Pelodiscus sinensis: one gene and its partner. The protein of the gene in region 2 purifies or fractionates together with the protein of the main gene of each other region. This does not show direct contact. Links are inferred from orthologs where the notes say so. Each region holds a gene or a part of one and is shown on either strand. Other genes may lie near its edges. The genes, in order: KPNA6 and PTPN2.

Region 1 (15,912 bases), on a different chromosome or scaffold from region 2:
TACAGATAAGGACTTGTCAACATTTATCTTAGGAACTCCCTTCTTGAAGAGTTCCTAACTAAACCAAGGGAGTTTGCAGGATGTTTACAACTTCAGGAAAAAAAACAAGTTGTATTTTAGTTGTCATAATGCACCCACAAAGGGGTAGAGTTAGTGTTGCATAAACACCTTAAAAGGATAGCAGTGACATGAAATCAACGATAACTAGTTAAAAGTGGTTTCTAGTACTGACCCTGCCTTTCAGTCCCCCAATATCATCCTCAATTTTACTGTGACCTTTTCTCAAGTTGACCTTGTCTCATTGTGGAAGACATGAAACAGCAGGGAAAGTCAACTAACTATGCAAGAAAAAACCCACTGATATTGACTATACTAGAAACTACTCAGAAGCACAGATTACCTAAACAAAAAAGTTCTGATTTTAGTTATGCTATTTTTAAGTAGTACTTACAAACACCAATAGGGAAAACACTCCATCAAGAGTATGACTTAAGAATGTTCTTTTAACTTAGGTATCTTCTGTTTTAAGTGTTTGACTGTGTAGCCTTCACATTTTCTCAATGTAGGTATTAACTGAAACAAACATGTTCGTGAATGTTTAACAAAAAAAAATATATAGAGTGAATACTGAAAACTTCTTAGCATAGCCTGCTTTTGATCCCATAGCTGTGTGCTTTGCACACAGTACGTTCTGTGCTAGTAAAACGCTTATCCACGCAATTCTTTTGGCTGTCTGGTACACTAGTCACCATTGGCTCATTCCCTTCTGTTTTAGCTATCTGAAGCTAGTGATGTGACATCATTACTGGAACATGCAGTCAGTCTACTCATGGAGCTGGCTTAGCGAGAGAGAAAAGAAAAGAGTTCTCTTCTGGGAAGTTAGCAGGCATTTTTCACTAAATTCAATCCTATTAAGATTTTTTATTCTCCCCATACCTTCATGTAAAGGTAGCCATCTATTCCTCAGCTGACTGCCAAAAAACACCTTTCCAGCTTCAGTTCTGCTTGCAAGCCACCCCCAACCAGAAGTCAGATGTTTTCAGAACCCTTTGCACCTACAATGTAGTTCTCCTTGTATGTTATGAGCAGCTCCCCAGCACAGGAAGGGATGTTAAAATGCACATATTCAGGTAAAAAGTGTAGATTTCAGTGATTACATGTGAGGGGAGCCAGCTCCCTGCACATACAGGCTCCTGCTGAGAGTCTCTCTCCCGCCCCCCCCATCTCTGAGGGGAGAGAAGAGGTCTGCAAGTAACAGTGAAGACTCATCAATTAATTGTTTACACTGTCACATCCCTAATAGAGTTGAAAATCTACCATGTGTAATACTGCCACAGGTAAGGTCAGCTAGGTTTCTATAGTAAGTGCTTAAACAAGGGGATTAAGCATTTGACTTAATCAAACAGACACTGTTTTAAATGCTCATGACAACTGCATTATTCCAGATTGCCTTCTTGCAAGATAAGTTTCAAGGCAATGAGGTAGATAAAGTCCTGGGATACTCATATTTGCTAACATGTGCTCTTGAGGAGTCAGCTTTTCTCTCTCCTGATAAGAGATTTTAGGTTCACACCAAGCTTCCTTGTATAGAAATGTACTTACAATTAAAAACTAAAGGGTTTTTAAATGGGGATATTAGTTTCCCTACTTTTATTGCACTATTTTAAAACACAATCAATTATGACATTACTAAACACATGTTCAATGCTCCAGAAAAATGCATACAATCAAGCAACCACCCATCTAGTTAAACTTGGTATGCTAAATAAACAGTCCAATAACATTTATATGCCCAACAAGCACAGCAAAGAGCCATCTGCTGAGCTCGTCTCTACATTGCACACATTACAATAGTACAGTAATACTATATTTGACAAACATACATGGACTATCGGTACAATGCTTGAAGAGGAAGAGTTAACACCATCCTACCTTAATGGCATTTTCTGACTTTTGAACACAGTCTTACTGGGTCAGACCAGCGGACCATCCAACCCCATATCCTACCTTCCAACAGCATCCAGTGCCAGAGGCTTCAGAGTGAATGATAATTGCCCTTTTCCGTTCAAGTGATCCATCCCCCACTGTCCAGTCCCAGCATACCATGCTCCCTTAACAGTCTATTCGTGTAGGACTGGGGTGGCCAACCCATTAAATGAAGAGCCGAAACAGCGACAGAAAAAAAAATGCAAAGAGCCGCACCAAAATTGTTGAGCCAACCAAAAAAAGCTCCCCAACAGCCAGAGTTGAGAAAAGACACCGCCCCTTTAAAAACCACAGGCAGGCTTTTTGGCCACGTCAGGCTCCCATTGGCCACCACCATCTTGCTACACCGGACAGCTCCCCTACACTCGGTGAGTACAGGGGACCAGGGGCCAACTGTAGGGGTACGTGGGTGGCTTCACGAGCCATACTTTCAGGGATGAAGAGCCGCATGCAGCTCGCAAGCTGTGGGCTGGCCACCTTGGTGTAGGCTTAGAACGCAGAGTCAAAGCTGAGCACTGGCTCCCATCTGCCCCCTCCCAACTCCTACTACCTCTATGTAAGCCAGCAAAGGAGAGGTAGGGGGAAGGCAGCTCCACAGAGCCAGAATGTACAGAGAGCCAGCTCCCCATGCATATCAGCTCCTGCCTCCAAGAGACAGTAGCATGGCCGAGCAATTCCACAGGATCCAGTGCTTGTGGGAGCTGGCTTAAAAGTCAGCACATCACGGGCACCAGCTCCTGCCTCCCCCATATCCTTGCTGCCTCTGTATCAGAAGCAGCAAGGGAGGGATGGGATGCATATAGTCAACAAGATTAACAATCACATAGTCCACTACACGTTAAAATCGCTAGTGTTTAAAACAGTCTTTATAGCCATTTTAATAGCGATGTTATAACAGTTTGGTCCCGATTACCCATGGAAGACCTAGATATGGGCAACATAACTGTGGCACTATCCTGCAAAACTTTAATGCTCTAACACAGCAGAGGGGGCTGTTGAGACAGGCCCACGGAGACAGTTCAGTTTTCTCCAGTCACCAGCTCATGTGGCATCTCCATCACCAAAAATCAGTGGAATTCCATTCTGTACAATCCTCTACTAATCTAATCAGCTTCTGTGAAGATTAAAATTTAAAGTAATTCAAGATCCCGTCATGTTCATTAAGGAGGGACTTGATACTAGGCCATATTCACAGGATGGATGAAGACTAGCTAGCAACAGCTGGATTTGAACCTTGTGCGGCTAGAAGGTTTTGGAATGGTTTTCTTGACATCCAGTAGACCAGGGCTTCCCCTGCCCCAACCCAAGAACCATAACGCAATAGTACTACAGACAGGAGAGGTAAGCTATATAGTTCAGTTTCCAGAAAAGTAATTCCTCTTTGTGCTGCTCAGAGAGCAACGCTACAAAGCCACAAACACTTACACTAAAACAGTTGTTGGAAGCCAAGAATAGGGCATCAACAAAACCCCACATTGGTGAAGATGAGCAGAAGTCTGCTCCTCAAGATAAAATACAGCTGCAGAACAGAGCAGCATTTTTAAGCCTCATTCCTGGCTGACCTCAGGCTCTCTTCCCTACTAAGTCGCTAGGAAACAGTCCTAGGTTGAGCCCACATACACAGTGAAAGTTTTGCCTCAGAACTGGACTTTGGTAAAAACCACACAGAGTTGGCATGCCATGGATTAGGGAGAATTGGTCCACCGACCTTCAGGAAGTATGGAAGCTCCTCTGTTCAATGAGAGGAAGGGACTGGGGTTAGCATCATTTTGCAGAAAGTAGCAGACAGCAAGAATCTTATTGTTTTAATCTTCATACATACACTGAGTGTTGTTTAGGGGTGGCAAAGGTCCCAGTAGACAATACCCGGCTCCAAAGAGTTGGTTAAAAACACACACACACACACACACGATTCCTCCCCACCTTGTGCAAGTTACAGTTGGCATACCAGCCTAACATTCCTATCCCCCCAAAATCCATGAAAAGTACAACTGTGGTCCATCTTTTTCTCCTCCTATCTACCAAGTATTGCTGATAAAGAAGCCGAACCAAATACTCTTGGCCGAGCCACATTTAAAGCCACGATCCAGCCCCTTCCTTTCAAGATGAAAGGGGCAGTCCCGCCGCCACTTCTGGGGTGGAAGACACCAGCCAAGAGACCCACCGCAAACTCAAGAAGTGAAAGGCGGGGGCAGTGTTTGCCTCGGGCCCTGGGGCCCCCCGCAGCTGCGAGGCACAAGGCTGGGGGGGGGGCACCTCGCACAGAGGTCCCGTGTGAGGGCTGTTCCAAGGGCTCTCGCTACAGCCCACCAGCTGGGGGGGGGGGGGTTCCACCCAGGGACGGGGCGGGGGGGCCGGCAGGTACCGGGGGGGGGCAGGCAGCGCTCGGCATGAATAAGCAGAAGTGTCCCCAGGCAGAGGGGAGCGGGGGCCCCGCCAGCCGCCTCCCCCCACCCCGCGCAGGGCAGCTGGACGCAGCGGCGCCCCCCGCCGGCCACTGCCCGAGGAGGGGGAGGGGGAACCAGCCCCCCCACAGGGCAGACCCGCCCCCTCGAGCCAGGCACCCCGGGGGCCGGCGGGAGCAGGGGCGCGTAGCCCCACCCCGGCGCTCCGAGACCCGGGTGACGGGCGCGGGCTCAGGGCCCGGGCCGCAGGGCAAGGGGCGGCCGGACCCGCCGGGCCGGAGTCTCCCGCTGGCAGGGCGCAGAGGAACCGCCGCGGCCTCCCCACCCGCCCCGCTCACCCATCTCCGGCTCCTCAGGCTCCGGCTCGAGCTGCGGCGGCCACAATATGGCGGACGGGGGCGGGGGAGGGCCGGGAGCGAGAGAAGGGAACGGCGGCCGGGAAGGGACAAACCTCCCCGCCGCGCGCGCCGCCCTTTAAAGGGGCAGAGACAGCGCGGGGGGAGGGGGGAGAGGCGCTTCCTCCCTCCCTCTGCTGAGCTGTACGGGGCGGGGCCACGGCGGCTGGTGCTGGGGCCCAAGGCCGAGGCCTGATAGCGCCCGTGGGCTGGAGGTGGCAGGGCTGGGCCACGCCCTGGGAGCCAGCCTGGTCCCCCTGCTCCCGCCCACCTGCCACCTGCTTCCCCCCTGCCCTGCCCTGCCCCCACCCGCCCTGCCCACGCCACCCACCCCCTGCCCTGCTCCCGCTCCCACCCGCCTTGCCCACGCCACCCACCCCCTGCCCTGCCCTGCCCTGCTCCCGCTCCCACCCGCCCTGCCCACACCACCCACCCCCTGCCCTGCCCTGCTCCCGCTCCCACCCAACCTGCCCACGCCACCCACCCCCTGCCCTGCCCTGCCCTGCTCCCGCTCCCACCCAACCTGCCCACGCCACCCACCCCCTGCCCTGCTCCCGCTCCCACCCGCCTTGCCCACGCCACCCACCCCCTGCCCTGCCCTGCCCTGCCCTGCTCCCGCTCCCACCTGCCCTGCCCACGCCACCCACCCCCTGCCCTGCCCTGCTGCCGCCCGCCCTGCCCACGCCACCCACCCCCTGCCCTGCCCTGCTCCCACCCGCCCTGGCCACGCCACCCACCCCCTGCCCTGCCCTGCTCTCGCTCCCACCCAACCTGCCCACGCCACCCACCCCCTGTTCTGCCCTGCCCCCACCCGCCCTGGCCATGCCACCCACCCTCTGCTCCCGCCCGCCCTGCCCACGCCACCCACCCCTTCTCTGCGCCTGCTCCCGCCCGCCCCACCCATGCCACCCACCCTGTGAGTTCATTCAAAGGGGCAGAGTGGTGGAGCCCGGGATCAGCGGGGGACTCTAAGTCCCCCGATGACCCCAGGTTCCATGAGGGCGCTGTGTCTTTGAAGTGCACAAGAGCCCCCACTGGGGCTCTTGTCCATTTCAGGAGGAATGCGAAAGTGCCTATCGACTAGTCAGTTAACCGTAATTTAACATCCTTAGGTAGGAGCATGATTTCATGCTGGAGAGCACATAGAATGTGATTCCCCCACCCCCCCAAAAAACCAGCTGCGTGGTATGCTAATGTAACCCACACACCTAGTGTGGTTACTGCGCAATGCAAGTGGTACCTAGACCACAGCAACAGTTAAGATCAAGAGACCTCTACAGCATGGGCTGGGAGCCAGCTGGCTTTTAGCTCAGAGGGTGGAGGCTCCTCTAGTCAGCCCCCGATTCAAACCCGCCCGGCGGCGGTTACACTAGCAGCATCCATCCTGCTGGGAAAGGATTAACTGGGTCCTGTTGATTCACTAAGGGCAGTGGGAGTGATTTCTCAGGGAGCTCGAGGGCATCCTGTAGAAAGAGCCCCGGGAACAGCCAAACCCTGGGAAATGGCGCCCGTTGGTGTTTGTTCTCCCGTTGTTAATCAAGAGAAGAGGACGTGGCTGACAGTGGGGCAGAACCTGTCTAGAATAAAATTCTTCCTAGGAATGTTCACCCTAGTTAGAGGAGGCAGCACCTTCCCAGTTGTGTTCCTCTCATCTTCAAAGGGAGAGGCGTGTGGGGGAAGCGACAAAGGAGACCACCCAGCTGTTGTCCCCATTTGCTCGGGAGGAACTCTCCTCCTCCTTCCCACACACTCTGTCCCATGGGGAGCCTTGAATTTATTTTCCCTCCTGTTGATTAGGGCTGAATTATGACTTTCGAGGGCCCGAGGCACTTTTGCCTTTGTGGGCCTCTTCCTCCATAAAAAAAAAAAATATTAAAAATTATTTTTGATACAACTTTAAATACTTCAACGTTTTATTTTTTTTCTGTTTTAGGCAAAATGTAATAGATTTTCGTGGGCCCTAAAAGTTTCATTTTTTTTCTTCTGATTTTAAAAGAAATTAAAACATTTTCGTGAGCCCCTAAAAGTATCCTGAGCCCTAGGCACTGTGCCTAATGGATAAGTCGGCCCTGCTGTTGATGAGGCACAGCTGCTGCCAGCACCTTCTCCTGCCTATCAGCCCATGTCTCCAGCCCTGGCTGCTCGGCCACTCCCAACGAAGGGCTTTCATTTTGTCACAGCCCCGCCAAAGATAAGTCACATACCACCCACTTGTAGCGTGGCTGGGGGCACTTCCCTTTCCCCACCCTTGGGAGAAGAAATCAGCATCGAGGTGATTCTGCCTCCGGCGCCACAGGACAGGGAAGAAAAAGCCATCTAGTCACTCCAGTTTTCGCTTTGCTTGGAGAGGAGCACGCCGTGATGACAGTGTATAGAGTTCCACCAGCCAGACATCAATGGCAGAATGGCTGTGCCAAAGGAAAATTTTATGGTCCCTGACACAGAACGGGTCAGCTCCACATCCTGTCTTCTAACCGCTTGGCGTTTGCCTCACATGCTCCAGCAATTTTCACCACTACACTGCTGGAGACGGGAGCACAAGTCGACAGTTCCCGCAGATAAAGCTCCAGCTGATCAACCCTCAGTAGTTTATTATTTAAAACACACGTGGACGGGCTGGGGGCTGGTCTCTGTTCTTTTACCCACCTCCTGCTTTAGTTCGTGATTCGAACTAGGAGGGTAATGTAGGCATACCGCACTTGCAAATGAAGCCCGGGATTTGAATTTCCTGGGCTTCATTTGCATAAACCGGGCGCCGCCATTTTTAAATCCCGGCTAGTTCGAACCCCGTGCCGCGCGGCTACACGCGGCACGGAGTAGCTAGTTCGGATTAGGCTTCCTAATCCGAACTAGCTGTACTCCTCGTGGAATGAGGAGTACAGCTAGTTCATTTGCAAGTTCAAACTAGCGGGGTAGTGTAGACATACCCTGAGAGATTCCCAGTTAAATACCTTGCCGATCAATGGACAAAGGGCAGGATTGGCATGAAGGAATTAGAGGAAGGGCAGCAAAAACCTCAGCCAAAAATCCTGAGAAACTATTATTGTTCCTTGAGAAGAATGGTTTGGTATACGTTGAACCTCTCCAGTCCGGCACTTTCTGGTCTGGCAACATCCATGGCCCAGCATGATTTTAGTTAGCCGGATGGCCACTTAACATGGGTGTGGCCAAGTTTTCCATGGTCACATAAAGTTTGTTTACAGCCACCAGCCCTGGCTCTGCTCTGTGCTGTGATGTAGCTCTAATTTACCTCTACATGTCTTCACAGCAGTGGAAGTGGTGGTAATGCTGCTAGACCAGTGCTGGGCAATAGGCGGCCCGCAAACACTTTGATCCAGCCCGCGCACTGCATCTGGCTGCTTTCTATTTATATCCTGCCGCCCGTACCACCAAATTTCCAGGCGGTGGCTCAGGCAGCAAGGATGCATTTAAATGGCTCATAGCTCCCAGTCGCAGCACTATCCCAGCAGAGGTCACAGCCTTGAGCCTTTTAAATACAGTCATTCCTCATTTAACACGTGCCCACTTAACACGTTTTCGCGATAGCACGATTTTTTTTTTTTTAGGGAACGTTTTTTGAATGACACAACCGTCCCCGGAATAACACGATTTCCCCAGCTGGCCCGTCGCCAGTGGCTGCATGGGGCTTCCCCCGCCTCCCTGCAAAGCAGCGGAGGGTTTGCCGCTCACCGCGCCGTTCCTCACTGCCTCCCCCTCACCGGACGCCTTGCCCCCTCTCCTCTGGCCCCACTTGCAGGCCGGCGGCTGGGTTTCCCCAGCCTGCCCATCACCAGCGGCTACGTGGGGCTTCCCCCGCCTCCCTGCAAAGTGGCGGAGGGTTCGCCGCTCGCCACGCCGTTCCCCAGTGACCCCCCCTCGCCGGACACAGAGCGGGTCCCGGCAGACCAGTCACAGGGGCATGCTCCCAACCCAGTCCCCCTCCCTTCTCCTCCCCTTCCCGTCCGCAGAGCCAAACACCTCCCCTCTCTGCTGTAACCCCGTCCCCTTTCTCCCCCGACCTTATGTCCCGGTCCCAACAGACACCACCGCTTGAAATGCAACCCCCACCTTTTCAATGGGGAAATTGACCCTGCATAACACGTTTTCACTTAACACAATCATTCTCTGAAACATCTCTCTAGTGTTAAATGAGGAATTACTGTAGTCCCAGCCACCCTGGGCAGCTGCCAGGCAACGCAGTAGTGATGGGGCCCTGAGCCCTTTGCTGTGGTTTTTTCAAAGCCTCCAGCCCCAGACAACTCGGGGGGGGGGGGGGGAGGCTAGTGCCCAGCCCCACCCCTTCGACTCCAAGCCCCACCCACTCCAGGGTGGAGCCGCCCTGTGACCATTTACCAAAATTAATAAAGTGGCCCCACTGCAAAATGATTGCCCACCCCTGTGCTAGATAATATTGGCCTCTTGTGGTTGGGCAAATTCTCTGGTTTGGCCCCAAGGGTGCTGGAGTAGAGAGGTTCAACCTGTAGTTACATAGGTACCATCGACGTGTGTCACTGCTGTTTGTCATCTTCATTGGAGGCTTCTTAGGTCAAGAACAGCGGGTTGTCCCTGATCCCTCCCCCCGCCCCGTCCTCTCACCCGGCGTGTGTCACTGACCCTTATGCAAAGCAGTTAACTGCTTCCAAATCAGAATGCTGGTTGCATCCATCTTGCACAGCTGTAAGGCTCCATCTGGGGCAGAAGAGAAGCAGAACCCCTCCGATATTGCAGATTAAACATTAAAATCCCGACCCCGGGCTAGCCCTGAGTTAAAGCAAAGACCCGTCCCAGGTCCAGCGTTTGCTTCAACCATTTTCCAAGCCAGCTTGTTCAAGGGAGTGAAGGACAACCGTAGAGATTTCGCAGTTGGCAGGAAAGAATTCCTTGGTTGCAAAGCGTCGCGGGGCAGCTGTCACAGGGCACAGAACACTGGACTCTCGCCGCTGACTAGATGAACACACAGGGCTTAAAAGCAAAGTTTTATTGTGGGGCTCCCAGACGGCCAGTTCGTGCCAGGCAGGTAGGGCCAGGGGAAATCCAGAGACCTGCTGCATCTCGGTGAAAACGACATCTAGCAAGTTCAGTCACCCACTACAAATGCTTCAAGAGCTGAGGTAGCCACTTCCTGGCTCAGTGGCACACAGCCTGGGAAGGCAAGTGAGAACGGAGACAAGGGGTCACCCAAGAGTGGCCCAGTTGACTGGGACAGGTGAGGGCTAGGGATGATAAAATGTGGGGGGGGGGAGGCAGGAGCCAGTGCTCATGGGGAGCTGGCTTTAAAATCACCTGCCCCCCCAATGCTGCCTCTGTATCGGAGGCATCAGCGCAGGGGGCAGGCACCAGCTCCCACCTGCCCCCCAGCCCCGCTGCCTCTGTGGGAGGCAGCAGTGGGGGGAAGGGCATGTGGCTTCATAGGAGCCAGCACATGCTGGAAGCTGGCTTAAAGACAGCGCCCCACATGTACCAGCTCCCTCCTGCCCCTCCCCCCATGCTGTTGCCTCTGATACGAAGGGGGGAGGATATTAAGCTTGGCGGTAGCCAGTACATGCAGGGAGCCAGTATGAAAGCCAGCTCCCTGTGCATTCCAGCTCCCACCATGGGCTGCTGCCTCTGTATTAAAGGCAGCAGCTGAAGGGGGAGCAGGCGGATCAGTAGAGAGGCAGCTGTGTGGAGGCTCATCAGTTTACCCTTTACACCAGGCATGTCAAACTCGAAGCCTACTGAGGGTCGCACAAACGGAAACTGATCGCTTTCAGGGCCACCAAAGAAAATGTGCTTCTATTGGAAAGTCATAATGATTTATTATCATGGTTTAGGCATATTTTATACTTTTTCAGGTCTTGTTTTAATATAATACAATCACTTGATGTGTCAAATTGTTATTTGCCCATATAAAATATTTTTTTAATTTAAATATAAATTGAAGGTACTTTTTAATTTTGTATGATACATAACTTGTTTTGTGGAAATAAAAACAAGTATAGACCGAGCTTAATCAAATAGAACAGGCTTCTGTGAAAATTTCAGATACTTTGTAAGTTTGACATTTTGGATAAATATATATTATTCGTGCAACTGCAAAAAATTGACATTTATTGATATACATTTTATGATTTTATTTGGGAATAAATAAATACAAAACAAAACATTAACAAAATATTCCCCTCCTTTCCCCCAGAGCCAGGCACTCCCATTCCCCCATTCTAACTCAATCCCTCTCTGCTCCCCCAAAACCAGGCCCCCCCTACCTAATGCCTCCCACCTCCCCCAGAGCCAGGCATTCCCAGCCCCCCCAACCTAATGTCTGGGTCTCAGAGTCGCTGGCGACGCCACACTTTCCTTCCTCAGGTGCTGGGGTGGCGTGAGCAGGCACTTGATGCCTGTGCAGAGCAGCTGGCCAGTCGTGAACACGTGCTGGAGCACCCAGCTCCGAGCGGCCTGGCCGGCCGAGAGCAGTAGTTGCAGCACTGAGCGTAGAGTGGCCGGTCAGCCGGCTGTGATCTGCGCTTGGCCACGTGCTCCGAGTGGCCAGCAGGACGCACTTTATTCTTTTATAAAAATGTAGTGGCGGGCCGCAAAAAATATTGATTGGGCCGCATGAGGCCCTCCGGAGGCTTGTTTGACATGCCTGCTGTACATGGATACACATTCACATCCCTAGCGGGGGCTGAGGATAGTGCCGATCGCAGGGGATCCTTTTTCCAGTCTGCAGGAAGCCTGCAAGTCACTGGGCAGAAACAGCTGAATTTTCTCTGCTCTTTGTGCACAATTGGTTGTTTCTACAAAATAAAACACAAGCCACGCTTATAGGATTTGTAAAGAACAAATTATGTCAAACCACCTGATACTTTGACAGGCTAACAAGGAGAAAGCAGTAGATGAGGTGTAGCTAAGTATACGTCAGGGCTCTTTTCCTCTGGCTTTAGCAAGGAGGGAAGATTTGGGAGGGACCAACATTTTTTATGTCCAGCTTCTGTCTGCTTTTAGCAGCAGTAGAGGAGGTGTAGCTAGACTTAAGGTATTTGATACAGTCTCACATGACCTCATTAAGAAACTAAGGAAATACAAGAAAGGGCGTAATGAGTGGGTTCTGCAGGGATCGTTTCTGGGACTGGTTCTGTTTAACATCTTCATCAACAATGTAGATATTGGCATAGACAGTATGTTTATAAAGTGTGCAGAGGATACCAAGCTGGGAGGGGTTGCAAGTACTTTGGAGGACAGGGTCATAATTCATAGGATCATAGAACTAGATCAGTGGTTCCCAACCTTTTCACTAGTGCGGACCCCCAATCACTCCCCCCAAACTGTTTGCAGACCCCCAATCACTCCCCCCAAACTGTTTGCAGACCCCCATCAAAGCCAATTCTAGCCTCAATTCTAGTAGTGGGGTATTTTCTCACTTTTACTGTTTGATTAGCTGTTCCACTTGTGGATGCCTCACTCTGCTCAGTCTCCTTTCTCTTCAGCGAGCCGGATTTCGCCACAGATCCATGTTGAACGTATGGCTAACGTGTGTACGCTTCTAACCGTCATGATCGTTTCGTCACACAAAGGCGCCACAACATAGATTTTTGGACCACAATTCATAACATTATTGGAAAATATTTAATTTAAAAACAACATTGTAACTTTTCAATTTATTTAAAAAATATTTTCTATTTTTATTTACCTTTAATTTTTCCATGGACCCCCTGCAATACCCTCGCAGACCCCCAGGGGTCCGTGGACCCCAGGTTGGGAACCATTGGTCTAGAGATCATCTCTGATAAGTGTCTGTCCAACCTGCTCTTAAATCTCTCCAGGGATGGAGATTCCACAACCCCCCTGGGCAACTTAGTCCAGTGTTTCACCACCCGGACAGGTAGGAAGTTTTTCCTAACGTCCAACTTCAACCTCCCTTCAGAATGATCTGGACAAACAGGAGAAATGGCCAGTAGGATGAAATTCAATAAGGCCAAATGCAAAGTGCTCCGCTCACACAGGAACAATCCAGAATGGGAAGTGACTGTCTAGGAAGGAGTCCTGCAGAAAGGAATGGGGCGGGGAGCCCCAAAAGCGAAATATGAGTCAGCTGCCAAAGCTGGGCTGCACCACTCCCACCCCCCACAGGCAGGGGCTATGTCAGCCCGGTGGTAGGTGGGCTGTTCCTGGGACCCGGTTAATTCTTACCCCATAAGCATCACCCTTTACGTTACTGGTTCACCTTCCTCCCGCAAACCCTTCCTGAATGGCTTGTTTTGCTGTGACCCCTCCCCACGCGCTGGGCCCACAGGATCACATAGCAACAGGGGTAAATTCCTGCTTGGGGGGGGGTCATTCCACCCCCACTCCACTGCCCGGGGCAGTGCCGTGAGCCAAGCAGCAGCCAAGGAACGACGCCCACAGAAAATTCTAAGATGTCCTTTTATTAAAATGTGCGTCACTGTTTGGTGTGGCGGTGTCCTTTGCTGTTCTCCGGCTGTCAGGGTGTTGCAGGTGACCACCCCAGTGGCCTCAGCGCGCGGGCCTAACGTGGGGGAACCGTTAGGTGGTCCGTGGCCTACCGTTCCCGCCCATGGCAATGTACACGTCAATGGGAACGTTGGGCAAAGTCAGGCAGTGGCACCCGGGGCATCTTCTCAGCTGCCTGCGGAACAAGAGAGAGGGTTTAGCTCGGCTTCCTACAAGGGTTGTGCAAAGCCACATACATCGAGCCCTTCAGCATCCCAGGTGCATGGCGGAATGGTGACGTATTTACCTATCGGGAGGGGTGCAGATCCCAAAAGCCCCAGGGCTCAGAACCCATGTGGCTGGTTGAACACGTCAGGGCTCTTTTCCTCTGGCTTTAGCAGGGAGGGAAGATTTGGGAGGGGACAACATTTTTTAAGTCCAGCTTCCCTGTCCGCTTTTAGCAGCCCCAAGCAGGAAATGAGAATTTTCTGCCCTAGGAATCTCTGGGTGGGAAAAGGACAAAAACTCCCAAAGGCTCTTCTTTCCAAGGGTCCTGTATGGTGAAATCAACACTTGCTGGGACAAAGCCTGCAGAGAGACCATGTGCCTGCAGAGATAACGGCCACGGGGTGGCGGCGAACCCTTGAGGGCTGGTAGTTTAACGGAGGAGGCCTTCAGGGCAGGGCAGAGCCTCTTCCGGACAGTAATAGAAGCACTGGGGGCCCCTCGGCTCTGCCTGCTGCTCACTGCCCAGAAATGCTCCACTGGAGCCCCCGACTCATCCCTATAAACTAGTAAGAGGCAAAGGGCACGGCCCAGCCACAGATGGGTTAAGGCTACAGTCGAACGGCCGGTTACCCTAGACCTGTTACAGGATTGGTTGTTGTCCAGCGATTGCACACCAGGCCAGCGGCCAATAGAGAAGACGGGACCATTCGGTTAGACAGAGCCAGGCAAAAACGTTCACCTGCAATTTTTTGGTGATACAATCTGCTCCTGGGACACCGAACCGTGTTGTGAATTCCTGTCCATTTTGCCACATGGCTTCGGTGGGAAGAAAAAAACATGCAGACAAACCCAGACCAGGGATGTAAAAATCCATTTAGTTAGTTAACTGGTTAACCAATTAAACAGAGGCGGGGGGGCGGGTGGGTTGCTCCAGCCTGTCTGTGGTAGGTCAGGCTGGGACTACCACGGGTAGAGGGATGCTCCAGCCCCCACCGGTTAACCATAACTGGTAAACATCAGCAGGGTGATACTGATTAACTGGTTAACCATTTGCAACCCTAACCCAGATGTTTTGTTTTGACATTTTCTTAATGAAATGTTTAAGCCTTTCCGTTGGAAACCTTTTTCCTTCCAAAATTTCCTGTAATTTCATTTAAAAAGATCAAAAAGGCTCAACAGACAAACAAAATGTCTTATTTGACCCCAGCTTAATGTTTTCCTCTGTGGTGCTGCCGCCAAGCAAGAACCATCTGGTTTGCACCCAGCTGTTTCTATGACCTAACCCGTGTCTCTGGCCCACAGGGGTCTGTGCAGGTCCCCTTCACTAAGCCAGCAGGCCCCGCCAATTTGTCCCCCGCTTGAGCCTGCTCCCCCTTGCATCTCTGCCTGCTGCAGCCTACAGGGCAATGGACTGGAGCTCTGACTCCTCCAGAGTCGGCAGAGTTGCAGCGGGGGGCGGGGAGGGGGTTACATGGCCCTTGTCTGAGCAGCGAGAACGAGGGGTGAGGCCGTGAGAGAAATTGCACCAGGAAGACCCACGGTCGCAGGCTTGAGCCCCCAGGAGAGCGAGAGGATACGGCTGCTGCAGCCCAGGGAGTCTGCTGGGGCGTTAACAGAGAGCCGGCCTGGCCTCGGCGCTCTGAGTCTGCCCCCAGCCTTCACTCCCTGGTGGAGGGGACACAACAAACCCGGTGCCTCATCTGGACTTTACTTAGAGCCCTACCTCAGCCCATTGCACAAGAACTAGCCCACCGGTGCCCAGGTCAGGGCCGGATGAACTCTTCTGGGGGCCTGGGGCTGTTAGATCTTGGGGGCCCCCAAGGCTCCGGAGTCGGGTGGTGTGGGAGCTGTGCAGGAGCTGGGGTGCAGTGTGGGGGTCTCAGAGGGAGCAGGATTGGGGAGGAGCTCAGGGCTGAAGCAGGAGACTTACCAGGGACAGCTCCCATTTGGTGTGTATGGGGGGGGGGGGGGGAACAGCGGACTCCATGTGGCCTGCACTTGCCTGCAGGCCCCTCCTCCCCCCGCTTGCTGCTCCCATTGGCTGCAATTTCCGGCCATAGGGAGCAGTGGGGGAGGAATCTCTTGGCCAGGGCAGTGCGGGGACAGATTCCTGGGGCTCGCAGCAACCTGCTTCCCGCTGGGTGTTGGAGGAGGAACAATGCAGCACCCCAAGCCTCCTCCCCCCACCTCACCTGGAACACATGGACCTTCGTGGCTGCAGCCCATGTCCCCCCAGCATGGGTCTCTGAGCTGCCCCTAAAGCCCCTTTCTTAATCCGGCCCTGCCCCAGCTCAGCCCTGGGGCCCAATCAGATGGCAACAAACTCTTCTGCCCGCCAGGCGCCGAGTTCCAAGCCAGGCCATGCAGCTGCCCTGCCTGCTGGGGATGTCCGGGACAGCTGAGCTAGCTGCCTGAGCCATGCTAACCCCGCAGGGAGATGGTGAGGAGGAAGCAGCTTCCTTTTGCTT
Region 2 (16,781 bases):
AGCAGGTGAGTGCAGTGAGGTTGTGTAACACCCGGGAGGGGGGGGGTAGGTGGGTGCACAGTGGGTGATGCACAAGGGAAACCTGTCATGGTCAGGCTGATGCCCAGGTCACACACGGTGTTACCTTCAGAATGTCTGATTCCCCTGTCTCAAGGAGAGGGCATGCCCTTTTGGACAGCTGTTGCACACATGACTGATTGTGATAGAAATGTAGCCGTGTTACTCTGATCTGAGGAAGTGGGTCTGGGCCATGAAAGCTCATCCCCTAATAAACCATCCTGTTAGTATTTTAAGTGCTATATAGTCCAGTTTTTTTATGACTGATTGTGTCTTCCTCTTTTCCTCCACAGCCGGACCAGCCGTGCAAGAGGGCCGCAGCACCCCAGCCCCACCTCCATCTCGGGGACATGGGAGCCGCAGACACAGGCATGTGTATGCGGCCATCCTGAGGCAGCATGTGAAGGCCGTGCAGGAGCTCAACACCATCCTGCGAGAGAGGGCGGAGGCAGAGGATCGGTGGCATGACCGGCTGATGGAGGAGCTGGTCCAGCAGCACACGTCCCTGTGTGCCACTCTCAGGGAGGTCTGCGGCTTGCCTGCTCCTGTGCCTGGTCCTGCTCCTCCAGCGCCCCATGACCCCGCCCCACCAAACCCCCCTTCCACAACAGCAGCCCTTTCCCCCCTTGGACCTCCCTCTCCCCCAGTCCCCCCAGTTCCCCAGCCCCTCTCTCCCCCTGGCCCTCCTCTCCCCCAGGCCTCCCAGTCCCAAGAGCACCTACCCGCTGTTATCCAGCCAACCGACAGGTGCACCACCCGATCCCATGGCCATGGTGGACCCCGAACACGAGGCCCAAGCAGGAGACTGAGATCAGGAAAGCACCGTGCAACCTGATCCCCTTCCCCCCTCCAGGTTTCAAGTCCCCTTCCCCCTTCCAGGTTTCAAGTCCCCTTCCCCCCTCCAGGTTTCAAGCACCCCCATCACCCCAGTTAAATGACAAGGAAAGTGTTAAACAAAATGTTTATTGTACATAGTTTGGCATGAAAGTATATTTTCTACATAAAAAATGAACAAAAGCTTTTTTATGTTTGCAACAGCTATACTATTTTCCAGTGAGTGATATTTAAAAAAATAAAACAGAACTTATTCTTTTGAGACAAACCCTGGTGTTTATTATTTCTCCAAACAGGGTCAGGAGATGGGTTGTGGAGGGAAGCTTCTATTGGGCCAGGGCCCAGTACCCAGGCAGAAGCCCCTCAGTAGAGTCAGTGGCCTCCAATTGAGAATTGCTCCCGTAGGGCCTCCTGTATGCAAACAGCAGACCAGTAAGCCTGGCGGATAGCAGCTGTCCGTGGCTGGGCAAAGTGCCTCTCCTGACCATCAGCACCTGTAACCCACCCTGGTAGGAAGGCCTCCCCTTTCCTCTCCACCATTGTTATGGAGAACGCAACACGCGGCCACCACCTCAGGGATGTTGCGCTCCCCCATGTCTAGGCGTGTGAGCAAGCACTGGAATCTCCCTTTTAAACGTCCGAACGCACATTCCACCTGGTTGCGAGCACGGTTAAGGTGAGCATTAAACTGCTCCTTGCTCGCATCCAGGTGGCCGGTGTAGGGCTTCATCAGCCACGGCATCAGGGGGTAGGCGGCATCAGCCACTATGCACACTGGCATGTGCACATCCCCAACCGCAAAGTCGTGATGCGGGAAAAATGTTCCTGCCTGAAGCCTCCGGTAGAGGTACGAGTTCCTGAAGATGCGGGCATCATGTGCCCGCCCTGACCACCCAACACAAAAGTCAGAAAACTGGCCACGATGGTCGACCGGGGCCTGGAGGACCATAGAAAAATAGTCATTTCTGTTAATGAATTGGGCTGCTCGATGGGGCGGTGCACGGATTGGAATGTGTGTCCCATAGAGCGCTCCTCCACAATTCGGGAAGCCAAGGGCAGCAAAGCCAGCCATGACGCTGTCCAGATCTGGTAGACAGACGAGCCTGTTCAGCAGCTCTGAATTGATGGCCCTCACCACCTGCAGAAAGAGACAGACAACAAAATGTTAGAAGGGGTGCCTTATCTCTTAGGAGGAGAACCCACCACCCATCTTCCCTCTCAAACACCCCGGGAATCCCCTCCTCAGAACCCCCCCCCCCCAACAATTCAGGGTGAGTGGAGGAGCTCCCTCCCACTCCCACTCCACTTTGCCCTTCCTGACAGTCTCCCTTCCCCCCACCCCAAACTGTGACTGTCCCCAGACAATGACTTACCTCCATCAGGATGTATCCAACAGTAGACCTGCCCACTCCAAATTGGTGTCCCACGGAGCGGTAGCTGTCGGGGGTGGCCAGCTTCCGGAGGGCAATAGCGACCCTCTTTTCCACGGGGATAGCGGGCCGCAGGTGGGTGTCTTGCCGTTGCAGAGCCGGGGCGAGCCAGGAACACAGCTCCTGGAAAGTGGTCTTTCACATCCGGAAGTTGCGTAGCCACTCTTGGTCATCCCAGAGCTCCATAACGAGCTGGTCCCACCAGTCAGAGCTGGTGTCAAGCCTCCAAAAACACCTGTCCACAAAGAAGTTTGGAGGCAAGGGCAGTGGGGCTGAATGACGGACGATCCCTTCGTACCTCTGGTCTGGGTCCAGATGGGGAAGTAGCCTCATGACTGTGTCATGCAGATACAGCAACACTTGCAGTATGATGGCTTGGGGCCATCGCCTTCCCAGGGGCAGCTCTGGCTCCATGCCAAAAAAACGGGTCTAAAACAGAAAAACCTCCAAACAAAAAACCTGCTGGGGTGTCCCAGGAAGCTGAGCACTCCAAACCAGCACTGCAATGCCTTGCTTACCTCCTAGAGGGACAGCAAAAGCAGCTGCAGAAGCAGAGCAACGGGTGTTCAGGGACGTCCCTTTAACCACGCGTCTCTACAAAGGGCAGGCAGCAGCACCCGGAAGGAAATGCTGCCCCCATGCCCTGGCAGAAGCAGTTCCGGGTGGCTTTTAATTTCGAAAGAGCATCCAGCAGTCAGGATGCTCTTTTTCGAAAAAGCGGATCGATTTTCCGATCCGCATATTGTAGTCTAGACGCGCTTTTTCGAAAGAGTCTTGCAGTCTAGACATAGTCATAGAGTTCAAAATAAAGTCAATGGATTTCAAGAAGGCAGACTTTAGTAAACTCAGGAAGCTGATAGGTAAGGTCCCATGGGAAGCAAGACTAAGAGGAAAAACAATTTAAGACAGCTGGCAATGGACTGTGACAGGCCACACTGAAGCACAGGGAGTTCCCCTGTCCCAGCTGGCTGTGCAGGCCCTATCCCCACGACCCTGCTGGGCTTGCGCAGGAGGGAAGCTGGGGATAAAAGCCCAGGGAGCCATTCAGTTGGGGCTGACCACCAGAGGGGAAGGAGCTCGGTCTGGAGCTCCTGAACAGCTGTCCCAGGAGCAGCACTAGCTAGTGCAGCCGCCCCAGGAGCAGCACCAGCTGCCACAGCGACACTAGTCAGCGAGGCTGTCGGACTGAGACTGACCTACTGGGCAGTTCGCCCAGGATGATGCAGTGCATTGATGGTGGCAGGAAGTAGCCCAGGGTGGAGGAGTGTCCTTTGGGAGCTCGGTGTGTTCTGGCAGGCATCCCCACCGAGCAGGTAGCAGAGCTAGCTGCTGCCAATAGAATCCTGGGCTGGGACCCAATGGAGTGGGAGAGGCTGGGTCCCCCTACCTCCCCACCCCACCATAATCCAGCTCCTTAGATTTTTGGGGAAGCTCACCTCTGAACTAGGCCGGAAGGCTGCCTACACCCTGAGAGAAGGGAGTGTGTTGGTGACTAGGGTGGAAAGGCCATATATATCCCTGTAGGAAGAAAACTATACTTTGGGGATTGGGCCTATAGGGCCTTATATACCACTGTAGAGGGAAATGCCCTTTGAGGTTGTGCCTGGAGAACCGTATATTACCTAATAGAAAGGGCTACTGTTTGGGAAAGAGCCGTAAGACTGCATATACCCTAAAAGAGGGACATTAGTGATAAACTGAGGTTGGTCTTGTGAAAAGGGAGCCCTAACCCAGATGTTGGGGATTTCTAGACCATTGAGGGGTGGGTGACCCCTCGACATGGATGTTATTAAGGGCGCAAGAGTACACTATTCCAATTTGTAGAAAAGATAGGAAGTATGGCAAGAGACCAACCTGGATTAACCAGGAGACCTCAAAGGCTTTAAAAAATAAAAAGTCATATAAAAAGTGGAAACTCTGACAAAGGATGACTATAAACAAAAACACAAGTATGAAGGGGCAAAATTAGTAAGGGGAAGACACAAAATGAGCCCAATCCAGCTAGAGACATAATAGGTAACAAGAAAACATTCTACAAATATATTAGAAGCAAGAGGAAGCTCAAAGACAGGGTAGGCCCATTGCTCCGTGAAGATGGAGAAACAATAACAGAAAACATGGAATGTCCGAGGTGCTTAATAACTTCTTTATTTTGGTTTTCACCAAGAAGGTTGATGCCTAACACAGTGAATGCTAGTGAAAATGGGGTAGGTTCAGAGGTTAAAATAACAAGTTAAAAATTACTTAGAAAAGTTAGATGTCTTCAAGACACCAGGGTCAAATGAAATGCATCTTAGTGCTCAAGGAGTGGATTGAGGAGATATCTTAGCCATTAGCTATTCTCTTTGAAAAGTCATCAAAGATGGGAGAGATTCCACAGGACTGTCTAAGGGAAAATATTGTGCCCCTCTATAAAAATGGAAATAAGGGCAACCCAGGAAACTACAGACCAGGCAGCCTAATTTCTGTGTCAAAAAAGCTAATGGAGCAAATAATTAAGGAATCCATCTGTAAAGATCTGGAAAATAAGGTGGTACATAACAGCTAGCATGGATTTATAAAGAACAAATCATGGCAAACCAAATCTGATAGCTTTCTTTAATAAGATAAGGGGGAAACGGTAGATGTGAAATACCTAGACTTAGTAAAGCATTTGATATACAATAATTCTTCATTTAACATGTGCCCGCTTAATACATTTTTGCAATAGCATGATTTTTTTTTTAGGGAACATTTTTTGAATTACACGACCGTCCCCGGAATAACATGATTTCCCCAGCAGGCCTGTTGCCAGTGGCTGCGCGGGGCTTCCTCTGCCTCCCTGCAAAGCGGTGGAGGGTTTGCCGCTCGTTGCACTGTTCCCCGCTGATTCCCCTTTGCCGGTCACATTGCTCCCTCTCCTCCACTCCCGCTTGTAGGCCAGCAGCTGGGTTTCCTCAGCTGGCCCGTCACTGGTAGCTGCGCAGGGCTTCCCCCGCCTCCCTGCAAAACAGCGGAGGGTTTGCCGCTCACTGCGCCATTCCCCGGTGACCCTCCCTCCTCGCCGGACGCAGTGCGGGTCCCGGCAGATCCGTCACAGGGGCATACTCCCAGCCCAATCCCCCTCTCCTTCCTTTCCCCAGAGCCAAACACCTCCCCTTCCTGCTGTAATCCAGTCCCTTTTCTCCCGCAACCTTATGTCCCAATCCCAACAGACACCACCACTTGAAACACAACCCCCATCTTTTCCATTATTTTCAATGGGAAAATTGACTCCACATAACGTTTTCACTTAACACGATCATTCTCTGAAACGTATCTATAGTGTTAAATGAGGAATTACTGTAGTCTTACATGACCTTCTTATCAATAAATTACAACCTAGATGGGGCTGCTGTAAAGTGGACACATAACTGGTTGGATTTCCCTTCTCACAGTGTAGTTCTCAATGGTACAGTCATGCTGGAAGGGCATAACAATTGGGGTTGTGCAGGGATCAGTTTTGGGGCTGGTTCTGTTCAATATCCTCATCAATAATTTAGACGATGGTATAGAGAGTACGCTTACATAGTTTGCTGAGGATACCAAGCTGGAAGGGGTTGCAAAGGCTTTGTAGGACAGAATTATAATTCAAAATTATCTGGACAAACTGGAGAAATGGTCTGAAGTAAACAGGATGAAATTTAATAAGGACAAATGCAAAGTATTCCACTTAGGAAGGAACAATCAATATTACACACAGAAAATGGGATGTGACCGTCTAGGAAGGAGTTCTGCAGAAAAGGATCTAAGGGATATAGTGGACCACAAACTAAATATGAGTCAACAGTGTGACACTGTTGCAAATAAAAGCAAACCTGATTCTGGGATGCATTAACAGAAGTGTTGTGAGTAAGACACAAGAAGTAATTCTTCTGCTGTATTCTGTGCCATATATAGAATATATACCTACAGTAGTATGTATATAAGGCCTATAGGCTCAAACCTCAAGTACAGTTTTCTTCCTACAGTGGTATATATGGCCTCAATTGGAGTATTGTGTCCAGTTCTGGGCAGCACATTTCAGGAAAGATGTGAATAAATTAGAGAAGGTTCAGAGAAGAGCAGCAAGAACGACTGAAGCAGTAGAGTTGAAAGTCATAACCAGAGCAGTCACTGCGAGGCACTGTCTTCCCGGAGGCCAAGAATATTGACTTTCAAAGTGCTACATTTGTACTACCACAAAGTTGACCAGGCAAGGTTGAATGTAGCAGTTACTCCTCATGAAAGCTGAAGTACAGAAATTTACTTTAACAGCCTTTAAAATCGATGGAACATACTTGGTCGTGTGGACTCATTGTTAGAAAATCGACCTAAATGCAGCTAAATTTTATCTGAACTCTCAGTGTAGACCAGGCCATAGCTATTGCCTGTAATATGTGTTTACAACAGCAGAGGATGCAAGAGAGCAGGAAAAAACTAGAATGATAATGTTTTCATGTGCAGGGAATCCGACGGGGAGGAGTGCTGGAGATTGCTGAGTAGACTGTAAAGATCCGTAAGTCTAGACCAGGGGTGGGCAAACTATGGCTTGCAGGTCATATTTGACCCATCAGACTTTATCTGTTCCTTGACCTCCTCCCTGGAATTGGAGTCAGGAACTTGCCCTGCTTTAGCCTCGTGGCATTTCCCAGCCCTGACTGTTTTTTAATAAGCACCATCTTCAGGCATGCAGAGCCAGACGGCGCGGATGCAACTGCACCACACTGTTTCCTGGATAAGAATGAACCTCGCTCCTACACAATAGCCCCCCTAAGTGGCAACGTGTCTGATCCCCTCCTGGTCTCCTACAGCCATACCCGCAAGAGCATCAAAACTGCCCAGGGGCCACACGGGTGTCAGCTAAGATACCTCTGCCTGTGGCGGTGCCATTTCTGACAAGGCCCCTGTAGAGCTCTCTTCTGTGCCACTCTCCATGAGTCCCCCACCATCCATTTCGATAACATTCCTTACAGTGTCCCTCAGAGGTGAAAGCAAGTGGGTGTGCCCTGGTGCAAAGCTCCAGCAAGAACTGGCTAAGCTGAGGCAACAGCCAGCAGGGAGCTATTTAAAGAGTTGGCAGGGACCCAAGAGGACAGTACCTGTAAGAAATATTAAGTTACTTTCACTGCTGGTGCTCCTTCCTGTGCCACACCCCCATGAGTACTCTGGCCCACGTCACCCTGAAACACAATTTTCATACCCAGATGCAGCCCTCAAGCCAAAATATTTGCCTGTCCTGGCCTAGACTCTAGGGCTGTGTCTAGACTGGCCAGTTTTTCCGGAAAATCAGCCGCTTTTCCAGAAAAACTTGCCAGCTGTCTACACTGGCCACTTGAATTTCCGCAAAAGCACTGACTTCCTACTGTCTGAAATCAGTGCTTCTTGCGGAAATACTATGCTGCTCCTGTTCGGGCAAAAGTCCCTTTTGCACAAAACTTTTGCGCAAAAGGGCCAGTGTAGACAGCTGAGATTTGTTTTCCGCAAAAAAGCCCCGATTGCGAAAATGGCGATCGGGGCTTTTTTGCAGAAAAGTGCGTCTAGATTGGCCACGGACGCTTTTCCGCAAAAGCACTTTTTGTGGAAAAGTGTCCATGCTAATCTAGATGCGCTTTTCCGCAAAAAAGCCCCAATCGCTATTTTCGCAATCGGGGCTTTTTTGCGGAAAACAAATCTCAGCTGTCTACACTGGCCCTTTTGCGCAACAGTTTTGCGCAAAAGGGACATTTGCCCGAACAGGAGCAGCATAGTATTTCCGCAAGAAGCACTGATTTCAGACTGTAGGAAGTCAGTGCTTTTGCGGAAATTCAAGCGGCCAGTGTAGACAGCTGGCAAGTTTTTCTGGAAAAGCGGCTGATTTTCCAGAAAAACTGGCCAGTCTAGACACAGACAAGGGGTATGTCTAGACTATATGCCTCTGCTGACAGAAGCATGTAAATTAGACATACCGACATAGTCAATGAAGCGGGGATTTAAATATCCCCTGCTTCATTAGAATAAAAGTGGCCACCACGTTGTGCCAGCTCAGCTGTTTGTAGGCACAAATTGGCAGTCAAGATGGGGATCGGTTGACAAGGAAAGCCTTTGCTGACTGATCCCTTATGCCTCGTGAAACACCTGGATGGTGTTGCTAGAAGTTGGTTGTGAAACCTTGTTCTGATCTCCAGTCCATGACCCTTTCTTATGCCTCATGATTCCATCCTGGTAACTATCTCTTGTCTCTGATTCCAACCTGACTCTGACCCTGACTTTGCCTATTGCCTGGCTCTAGTCTATAGAGTACTCAGATCTCTGCTGACTACTGACTGCCTTGTGGCCATCCTTGACTTGTGGACCCACCAACCCAGCTATGATACTATGTTATACCATATACATCCCACCGTTATATTCACCGATACAGTCTCCATACGAGTTTACACCTTCTACAGACCAATATGGTGGAAATAAATGTTTATATATGGTAAAATAGACCATGTCAGTGTTTTGTATCCCTGCCCTTTCATCAGCCTTACTCTTCACAAAAATTTGAAGCATGATCTTGATCACCATTGGAAAACAACAACATTAATATAGTGTGTGTGGGGGAGGGGAGGGGGGGTGAGAGAGGCAGAAACAAAGTGTGAGGGCCAGTTAAGATATATCTGCCTAAATTAACCATATCTCCCACAAACAATTTTTTTTTCTTTCTGCTCAACAAAAAACTGGGAATCTACTAACATGCAAATTAGATAAGGCTGAGTAAAGAGTGGCCTCTTCTATTTTGTGCCCTTCCATAATAGCTTACGAAGGTAATGGAACTTCAAATTCTGAAAAGCAGGAAACACAGAGGCTATGTCTACATTGGCATGATCTTGTGAAAATACTCTTTAACGCAAGAGTTCTTGCGTTAAAGTATTTGCACAAGACAACGTCTACACTGGCATGTACCTTTGCGCAAGAGATGTGCTTTTGCACAAAAGCATCCGTGCCAGTGTAGATGCTCTCTTGAGCAAGAAAGCTCCAATGGCCATTTTAGCCATCGAGCTTTCTTGCGCAAGAAATTCATGTTGCCTGTCTACACTGGCCTCTTGCGCAAGAACAGTTGCGCAAGAGGGCTTATTCCTGAGCAGGAGCATCAGAGTTCTTTGCGCAAGAAGCACTGATTTCACACATTAGAACATCAGTGTTCTTACGCAAGAACTCCCCACCAGTGTAGACAGGCAGCATGTTTTTGTGCAAAAGCGGCCGCTTTGGCGCAAGATCATGCCAATGCAGACACAGTCAGAGTGAAGGGATACACTAACATAACCTTAACTCTAGTCTCCTGGAGCTGATCATTGCCACTGGAAATTATCTGCATATGCTCCAGCTATATTATGTGGAACTGGATACTGAATGAAGGGATTAGTTGGAGCAAAATGGTAGAGCTGTGATTACATGAGGAGATCTGGGAGTCCCACCTTTCTTTAAACGTCTGACACCCATTCCCTCTCCCCTCATCAAGTGTGATCTAAGGAAAGATGTGCAAGGGCATTTTGAGATATTGTCCCATTTCAGTGCTGATTTCTGAAGGTGGTACCAGTACCTCAGTACAAGCATTATCTTATCACAGTGCAGAGGTGAGCTATGACAACGACCTGCAGGTGCAGATGGGTAAGTGAAGACAGCACCAGATGGCAGAAAGAAGCCGTAAAGTAACCAGGAGTGGTGCATTTCTGCAGACTAGGCTCAGGGTTTGCATGCAGGGCAGGTGCATGCTGCTCCTGGTCAGAGGAGCTCAAGCCCAACCCAGCCGCAGCAAAGAGTGTCTCAACTTCGAGCACTCCCTCGCTGTGCTCCCCGGGGCACGCGCCCCGTTTGCAAAGGTAGCAGCCGCAGCAGGCACACGTGGGGGCCGGAGCAGGGTGCCCGCAGGGCAGAGTGAAGGAGACGCGCGCGCCGGTCGCTTGGCACGTTGCACACTTCGCCGCCGGGGGTTTGTCAGCCAGTCATACGTCACAAGACTCCGAGCCCGCACGCGAGGCACAGGCGGAACGCAGAGGGGCGAGGCTGACCTCGCGCCACAGCATCCGGGCCGTTATTGCCCACTCACCCCGCCCTCTCCCCACCTGTGCGCTCCCCCGCCGTCCCCCCAGAACGGACCGTTACGTCAGTCCAGGTGCTTTCCCTGGGGCGGAGTTTCGAGCGCCCCAGATAGGCGGAGGCTAGTGGTTGGTTGGGAGTGCGCATGCGCCTGACGGCGGCGGACGAGCGAGCCGCCGACTGTAAGGCAGGAAAGCCGGAGCGCGCGGCGGGCTGGGGCTTGCGCTCGCCGCCGTTCGTGCTCCGGGCGGAGGGAGCGGGAGGTTATGAGCCTGCCGGACTTCAGCGGTCATCCTCGCTCCGGCCGCCGCCATGGCACCCCCTATAGAGCAGGAGTTCCAGGATATCGACACCGTTAACGACTGGCAGGCTCGCTACCTTGTGAGTGAACGCGGGGCTCCCTGGATCGGGAGGGGAGGAGGAGCAGGAGGGGAGGACGGGGCAGTCGGCTCCGGCCGGCACGCGCGGCTCTTGTCCCGTACTGGGAAGCGGAAGTCGTTGGGCCACAGTTTGATTTCAGGTGCGCGCAGCAGCGCTAGCACCCGCTGCCTCCTGGAGCGCTGTCTGCGCATGCACCGAGAAGGGCCGGCAGAAGAAGGGGAGACTTGCCCCTCTAATACGCATGTTCAGTAAAGAAGAGGCACTTGGGACTGGCAGGAGCACGCATGCGTCAAATGCGGGGGGGGTAGGCGCGGAGTATGAGGAGCGTGCTGGTTGTAGTGCGCATGCGCCAGCAGCCCGAGGCGCTTTAACGTGCGCACGCGCGTTTTAGTTAATTTTTCGTCTTTCTCCCTTTTCACTTCCTCGACTGGCCTCCTGGACTCTGCCTAGCGCCGCGCCTACGAGTGGTTGTCACGCTGCTCTGCCGGGCGCCTCGTGCCCTTCGCGCGCGGCTCGCCCCCTACGTCCTGGGTTTCGCTCTGCGGGTCTAGTGAGCAGTAGCTATGAAATGCTCTCGGCGTCGCGGTGGTCTTGGTGGAGACTGGTGCTGCGGCATTCATGTTCCTTGATTGACAGCAGAGGTGGGGAAACCTCTGGCCCCCGTGTGCCTACATCCGGCACCCGAGGCTCAGAGCTCCCCCAGCTTTGGGGAACCCAGCACCGCCCTACCATAGTCTACTGCCCTCTTCCCCGAGCTCTGGTGTGTGCGGGGAATGTGGGAAGTGGCTTTGTCTGTCTTACTTAGGGCACGTCTGCACTGGGGAGTTGTTTCGAAAGGCGAGCATCCACACTACCAAGCCTGTTTAAAAATAACACGCCCATTATTTTCTAATAACTCTAGCTTGTGAAGAAGGTGATAGTGTGGATATAGCCTCTGGGACCACTTAAGTGAGGGGTGGGTTTTTGTTATTGCTTTTCACTTGTGTGTAGCCCCCCAACTGACTTAGAACCTAAAAATGGCTGTACTGGGTCAGACCAAAAGTCCATCCAGCCCAGTATCCTGTCTGCTAACAGTGGCCAGCAACAGGTGCCCCAGAGAGGATGGACTGAAGACAATGATCAAGCGATTTGTCTCCTGCCATCCCTCTCCAGCCTCTGACAAACAGAGGCCAAGGACACCATTTTATCCCCTGGCTAATAGCCTTTTATGGACCTAACCTCCATGAAATTATCTAGCTTATTATTTAACTTCTGTGGATGAGTGGCCCCCAACCCAGAAAAAGTTCCCCATGCCCTGGTTTGCAGCATTGATTGCTTATAAAGGTTTAATGGCATCCTCAGTGGAAGTACTTCACAGGTTATCCTGTTACTAGAATTTGCATAACTGCCTTTAATGCCCTAGGGCAGTGGTTCCCAAACTTTTTTGGCACCATGCCCCCCTTTTTGTTTTTTGAAAAACCCTCAACCCCCCCAAATAGCTGCAAAACTTGAGCGCAAAAAAACCCAAAAACTTGATGGGGGTGGGGGGCTGGGTCGCCTCGCACACACCCCTGGAATTTCTTCAGGCCCCCCAGTTTGGGAACCTGTGCCCTAGGGCATAGTTGCTCTGATCCAGGTGACCCATCTTTGCTAATAATTTGTGCTCATATCCTTTGTTTTATAAAACCTTAATTCAGCTATGCAAACATTGCTAACCTAGTGTGCCCAACAACTCACAGATCTATTGGATGTTAGGCCCCTCTTACAAATCAGAAATATTCAGCATTAAGTGAATGTGACTTGCCTAAGGCTACATACAATTCTCTGGAAAGTTGGGAATAGATAGCAGACCTGTTGCCTTTCTGTTACATTGTGCTGTGCTTTCATTCTGTTGAACTAAAATTTCAACATACTTTACCCTGAAACACTATATTTTAAATATATATGCAGGTTAGGCACAATATCTAACAGTGAAATAATTCCAAGGCTTGAGTTAAACAGAGCAGATGATAAACTAAGCAAAACTTTACAGATGGCAAGTGTACCAGTTCTGTAATCAATATTGTTTACTGTTACTAGCAAAATGTATGCAGAATATTGCATAGTGTATGTCCATAATGTGTAAATTACCTGGCTTAAACCATTTTAATTTTATGAAAATACATCTGTTATAGTAAACTCACATGAAAATGTAAACAAATTCTGTAAGGCTTTTCAGTTACAGATTTTCTGTTTTAAATTTAGCTATATTATGTAACTTTAATGAGAATAGATACCTCCAAATTCTGCCATTCTAGGTTTATGCTGTGGAGTGTTTTCACTTATCTCTTATGAGCAATTTTTCATTTATCTGTGCTTAATATGTTTTAGATGTAATATTTCTGAAGTCTTATTAAATAAAATATAAACCAAGGAGATTATTGCTTCTGTGTCGCAGAAACTATTTATGCAAGTATTTGTATTGGTGTGAGTTCACATGAAATTAGCACATATTTAAGTCCTCAATGATTAAAGTAAAGTATTTTCTTTCTGCCCTCCCACCCCATATTGTTGGGTAGTGGATATTGAGGGCAAGGGAGACTATAATGCTCAGGGAATTCCCAAGGAGAAATTCATGGATGAAAGAAGGTGGGATTTCCTCCCTTGTAGAGTGAGCCCTGCAATTGCATGGGCTTGTTGGTGTTGAGAAATACCATGGATCTCTAGGAATAGTTCAGGAATTTCTATTAGATATATTAAAAAACGGTAATGTAACCATTACAAAAAAAAAGTGGCAGTTACACACTGTGGGCTCTGCAATGTAAAGCTTATTATACGGCAGAGCTTGCATTGGGGCCAGAAGCCAGTGCGTGCCAGGAGCTTGCACCTAGCTGCCGGCCCCACTCCGAGGAGCCAGCTGTGCTGAGGACTCTGCAGTATAAGCTTTATACTGCAGAGCCCACAGCGAGAGGCAACAGCCAGCTTCCCGGGAGCAAGACCGGCACACTGGGAGCCAGCTTACCAGCACCCAGCTTCTGGCCCCGCTCCCAGGGAGCTGGCTGCCACCCTGCGCTGCAGGGTCTGATACAGAGCCTTCAGTGCTGGCTGGCAGCCAGTTCCCTGGGAGCAGGGCTGCGAATCAGTGTGTAACCCGTTATGGGAATGGATAAGATCATGATTATCAGGTAACCATTTAAAGTTTTTTAAACTGTTACTCTTGCATTCCTAATTTTCCTAGAAGATTGTTTTGTGCTGCTACTTGGTCCATGCAGTGATGACTACCTGATTAACATTTGTGGAGTTGCTGGAAGATGATGCCTCTTATTACACCTGCACTGATTGTGCCCTTCACAGTTGTGGAGCCAAGTTCTAAGGAGGGAGCATCTGTGATATTGGTGTGATTTCGTTGAGCTCAACTCACCTCCAACAGTTTTTGGGTCCTTGTAATTGTGTTCTGTTAGTTTAACCTCTGTGGTATGTCAGAGAGGTTAGTATATAAACATACATACTGAGAGAAGGGATTAAAGTAATACATTTGTATTTTATTACTTGATAAATAAAAGGTTTCCTCTGGATATTTTTGTTTTAACTTTGGTATTTCTAGTAGATTGAGCTGTTCCAAAATTATCATTAAGTTGTGTGTGCAATTTTAAATGCACACATCTTTAAGATACTTTTTTAAAAAAAAGTGATGTATAGTTTCCCATAATATCACTAATGCATAAATGCTAAATTTGTTTATATGTATTGATACTTCAATAAAAGTGAAGATCCTATTCACATGTAATAGGATCCAGATTCATTTTAGGTTGCAGTTCCACAGAAATCATTTCTGATTATGCCTGTTTTCAGAAGGAGCAGGGGAGAAGGGCTCATTTGAAATGAGGATGTGCAGAAGGTAGATAGAGTGAAGGAAGCCCATGAGGCGATTACAATAGTCAAGGCAAAGAATAGTCAGGACCATGGCAATTGCTTTGCTGGAGGGAAAATACAGGAAGAATGTATTTTGAGTTATGTAGGACCTTGTCAGAAGTAGCAGCAGCACTGGTATGGAGAAAAGATGGACAAGATGCTACTTCAAAATTTAAAAACAATTACAGGCAGTCCCCGAGTTACACGGATCCGACTTATTCCGCAGTTACGAATGGGGCTTTTCTTGCCCCGGAGGATGGGAGCGGCGGGACACCCCAGCAGACCAGGCTTTTCTCGCCGACGACGCCTGGGGTAGAGCAGCTGAGGAGCGGCGCTGCGGGGACCTACCCGGCAGCGCCCCAGCTGCTCTTTCCCAAGTGTCCAAATTCAGCTGCTGTTGAAACTGATCAGCGGCTGATTCCAAGAAGCCCAGGGCAGAGCAACTCTGCCTCAGGCTTCCTGTAGTCAGCCGCTGGTCAGTTTCAGCAGCGGCTGAATCTGGACACCAGTTCCGACTTACATACAAATTCAACTTAAGAACAAACCTACAGTCCCTATCTTGTACGTAACCCGGGGACTGCCTGTATTTATCTCAGACAATTTCTGCGAATGGTACTCTAGCCATCTTTTCACCTGGGGAAGAGAACAAATACAGCCTCTAATACATCTTGGCCACAGGGAGAGAATGCTTGTTTCAGAGGGTGGAGGGACATATAAGCAGAGGAGGCAGACATTTTAGACCTGATTCTGATCAACAGAGGGATTGCTTGTGAATCTGAAGCTAGAAGGCAATTTGGGTGATAAAACTGGTAATTCCTAAGCAGAGGGAGGAAGGAGTAGTAGAACAAGGACAACAGATTTCATAAAAGCAGACTTCAACAAAACAGAACTGGTAGATACAATTTTCGGTAAGAACACCTAAAGGAAAACGTGTCAGGAGAGCTGGCATTTAGAGATTAAAGTGGGGGAACTGTTTTTGGGTCAGGAGTCACTGACCCACAGAAAAATCAGTTGGGGAGCCACACTAGGGGCAGGGTTAATTCTTCTGGGGGCTGGGTTTCCCTCTAGGACTGGGTTGGTAAATTTGTCAACCCTCCCCCATTTGGCTCCAGGAATGGGGCCAAAAACGATGGGGTCAGTGTACAGGAGGGGGCTGACAGGAAGTGGAGTGGAGAGGGAGTACTGGGTCTGGGCCAGAGGTAGGGGGCAGGAGTGAACAGAGGTTGGGTGTCTGAGAAGGAGATTGGGGACAGGAGATTGGGGTGCTTACCTGGTGCAGCCCCTCTTTGGTTGTAGACACTGTCCCCTGCTGCTCCCATTGGCCACCATTCCTGGCTAGTGGAAGTGATGGGAATGTAGCCTGCAAGCAAGTGCAGGAAGAGAAATTCCCTATGCTGCTGTTCCCCTCAGCTCGGGGGAAAAGGGGCAACAGGAGCAGGCAGAACCACTTCCTCTCCCCCCCCCCCCCCCCCCACCAGCCAGAGCCAGCCACACAGGAGCTTCAGCACTTACTCTCTGCTGTTTTCCCCCGCAGTAGGGAGCCAGCACTTGGAGACTCAGTGTGGGGCTGGAGCATTAGCACCAACTTGCCCTGCTGCAAGGAAAAGCCCTGACCCTCACCACAGGCCAGATCAAAGCAAGCCAGGGGATGGATCTGGTCCATAGTTTTCCAATCCCTGTATTAAAGGTGTAATAGTAGACTACCCAGGAGAGAAGGAAAGATTGGAAAAATATTAAGAGGCTAATGTGGCTCCATTAAGAGCTCTTAAGTTCTCTAAAAATCAAAGGGAATCCTACAAAAAGTTACTCCTTGGAGAATTGTATGCCAAAAAGATGAAAAAAAAATCTACACACAATTTTAAAATTCTGCATTTCTTATCGATAAACTAGGCAAATACAACTTAGATGGGGCTACTATAAGGTGGGTGCATAACTGGCTGGGTAACTGTTCTCAGAGAGTAGTCCAGGGTTGGAGCGCACTCAGAAAAAAGCTGGGGGGTCCATGCTCAGTAACTCCTCCCCTGCCCTACCAGAGTTTCTGGAGCAATGCAAACAGCTCATTTGCAGTGTTCAGGCTCTGGAGGGGAGAGTGGGGACTGATTGGGGTGCTTGGAGGAAAGAGGCAGGGTGGCTGAAGAGCACAGCCCCATA

What was found.
Region 1: the proteins of PTPN2 (region 2) and KPNA6 purify together in Homo sapiens (affinity purification with mass spectrometry; 3 studies listed by BioGRID and IntAct, with this or other methods). This does not show direct contact. The link is inferred for Pelodiscus sinensis from reciprocal best matches to the Homo sapiens genes PTPN2 and KPNA6.

Annotation. Positions count from the first base shown.
Region 1 is NC_134735.1:3,501,983-3,517,894, reverse strand, and holds the start of KPNA6 (importin subunit alpha-7), read right to left. Parts: upstream 7,070-15,912; 5' UTR 7,055-7,069; coding exon 6,991-7,054; intron 4,871-6,990; exon of another isoform or gene 4,734-4,870; coding exon of another isoform or gene 4,730-4,733; intron 2,036-4,729; exon of another isoform or gene 2,021-2,035; coding exon of another isoform or gene 2,008-2,020; intron 1-2,007. Other genes in the region: protein FAM229A, read right to left, coding at 13,310-13,412. UniProt on the Homo sapiens protein: Functions in nuclear protein import as an adapter protein for nuclear receptor KPNB1. Binds specifically and directly to substrates containing either a simple or bipartite NLS motif.
Region 2 is NC_134712.1:87,628,763-87,645,543, reverse strand, and holds the start of PTPN2 (tyrosine-protein phosphatase non-receptor type 2), read left to right. Parts: upstream 1-10,523; 5' UTR 10,524-10,691; coding exon 10,692-10,760; intron 10,761-16,781. UniProt on the Homo sapiens protein: Non-receptor type tyrosine-specific phosphatase that dephosphorylates receptor protein tyrosine kinases including INSR, EGFR, CSF1R, PDGFR.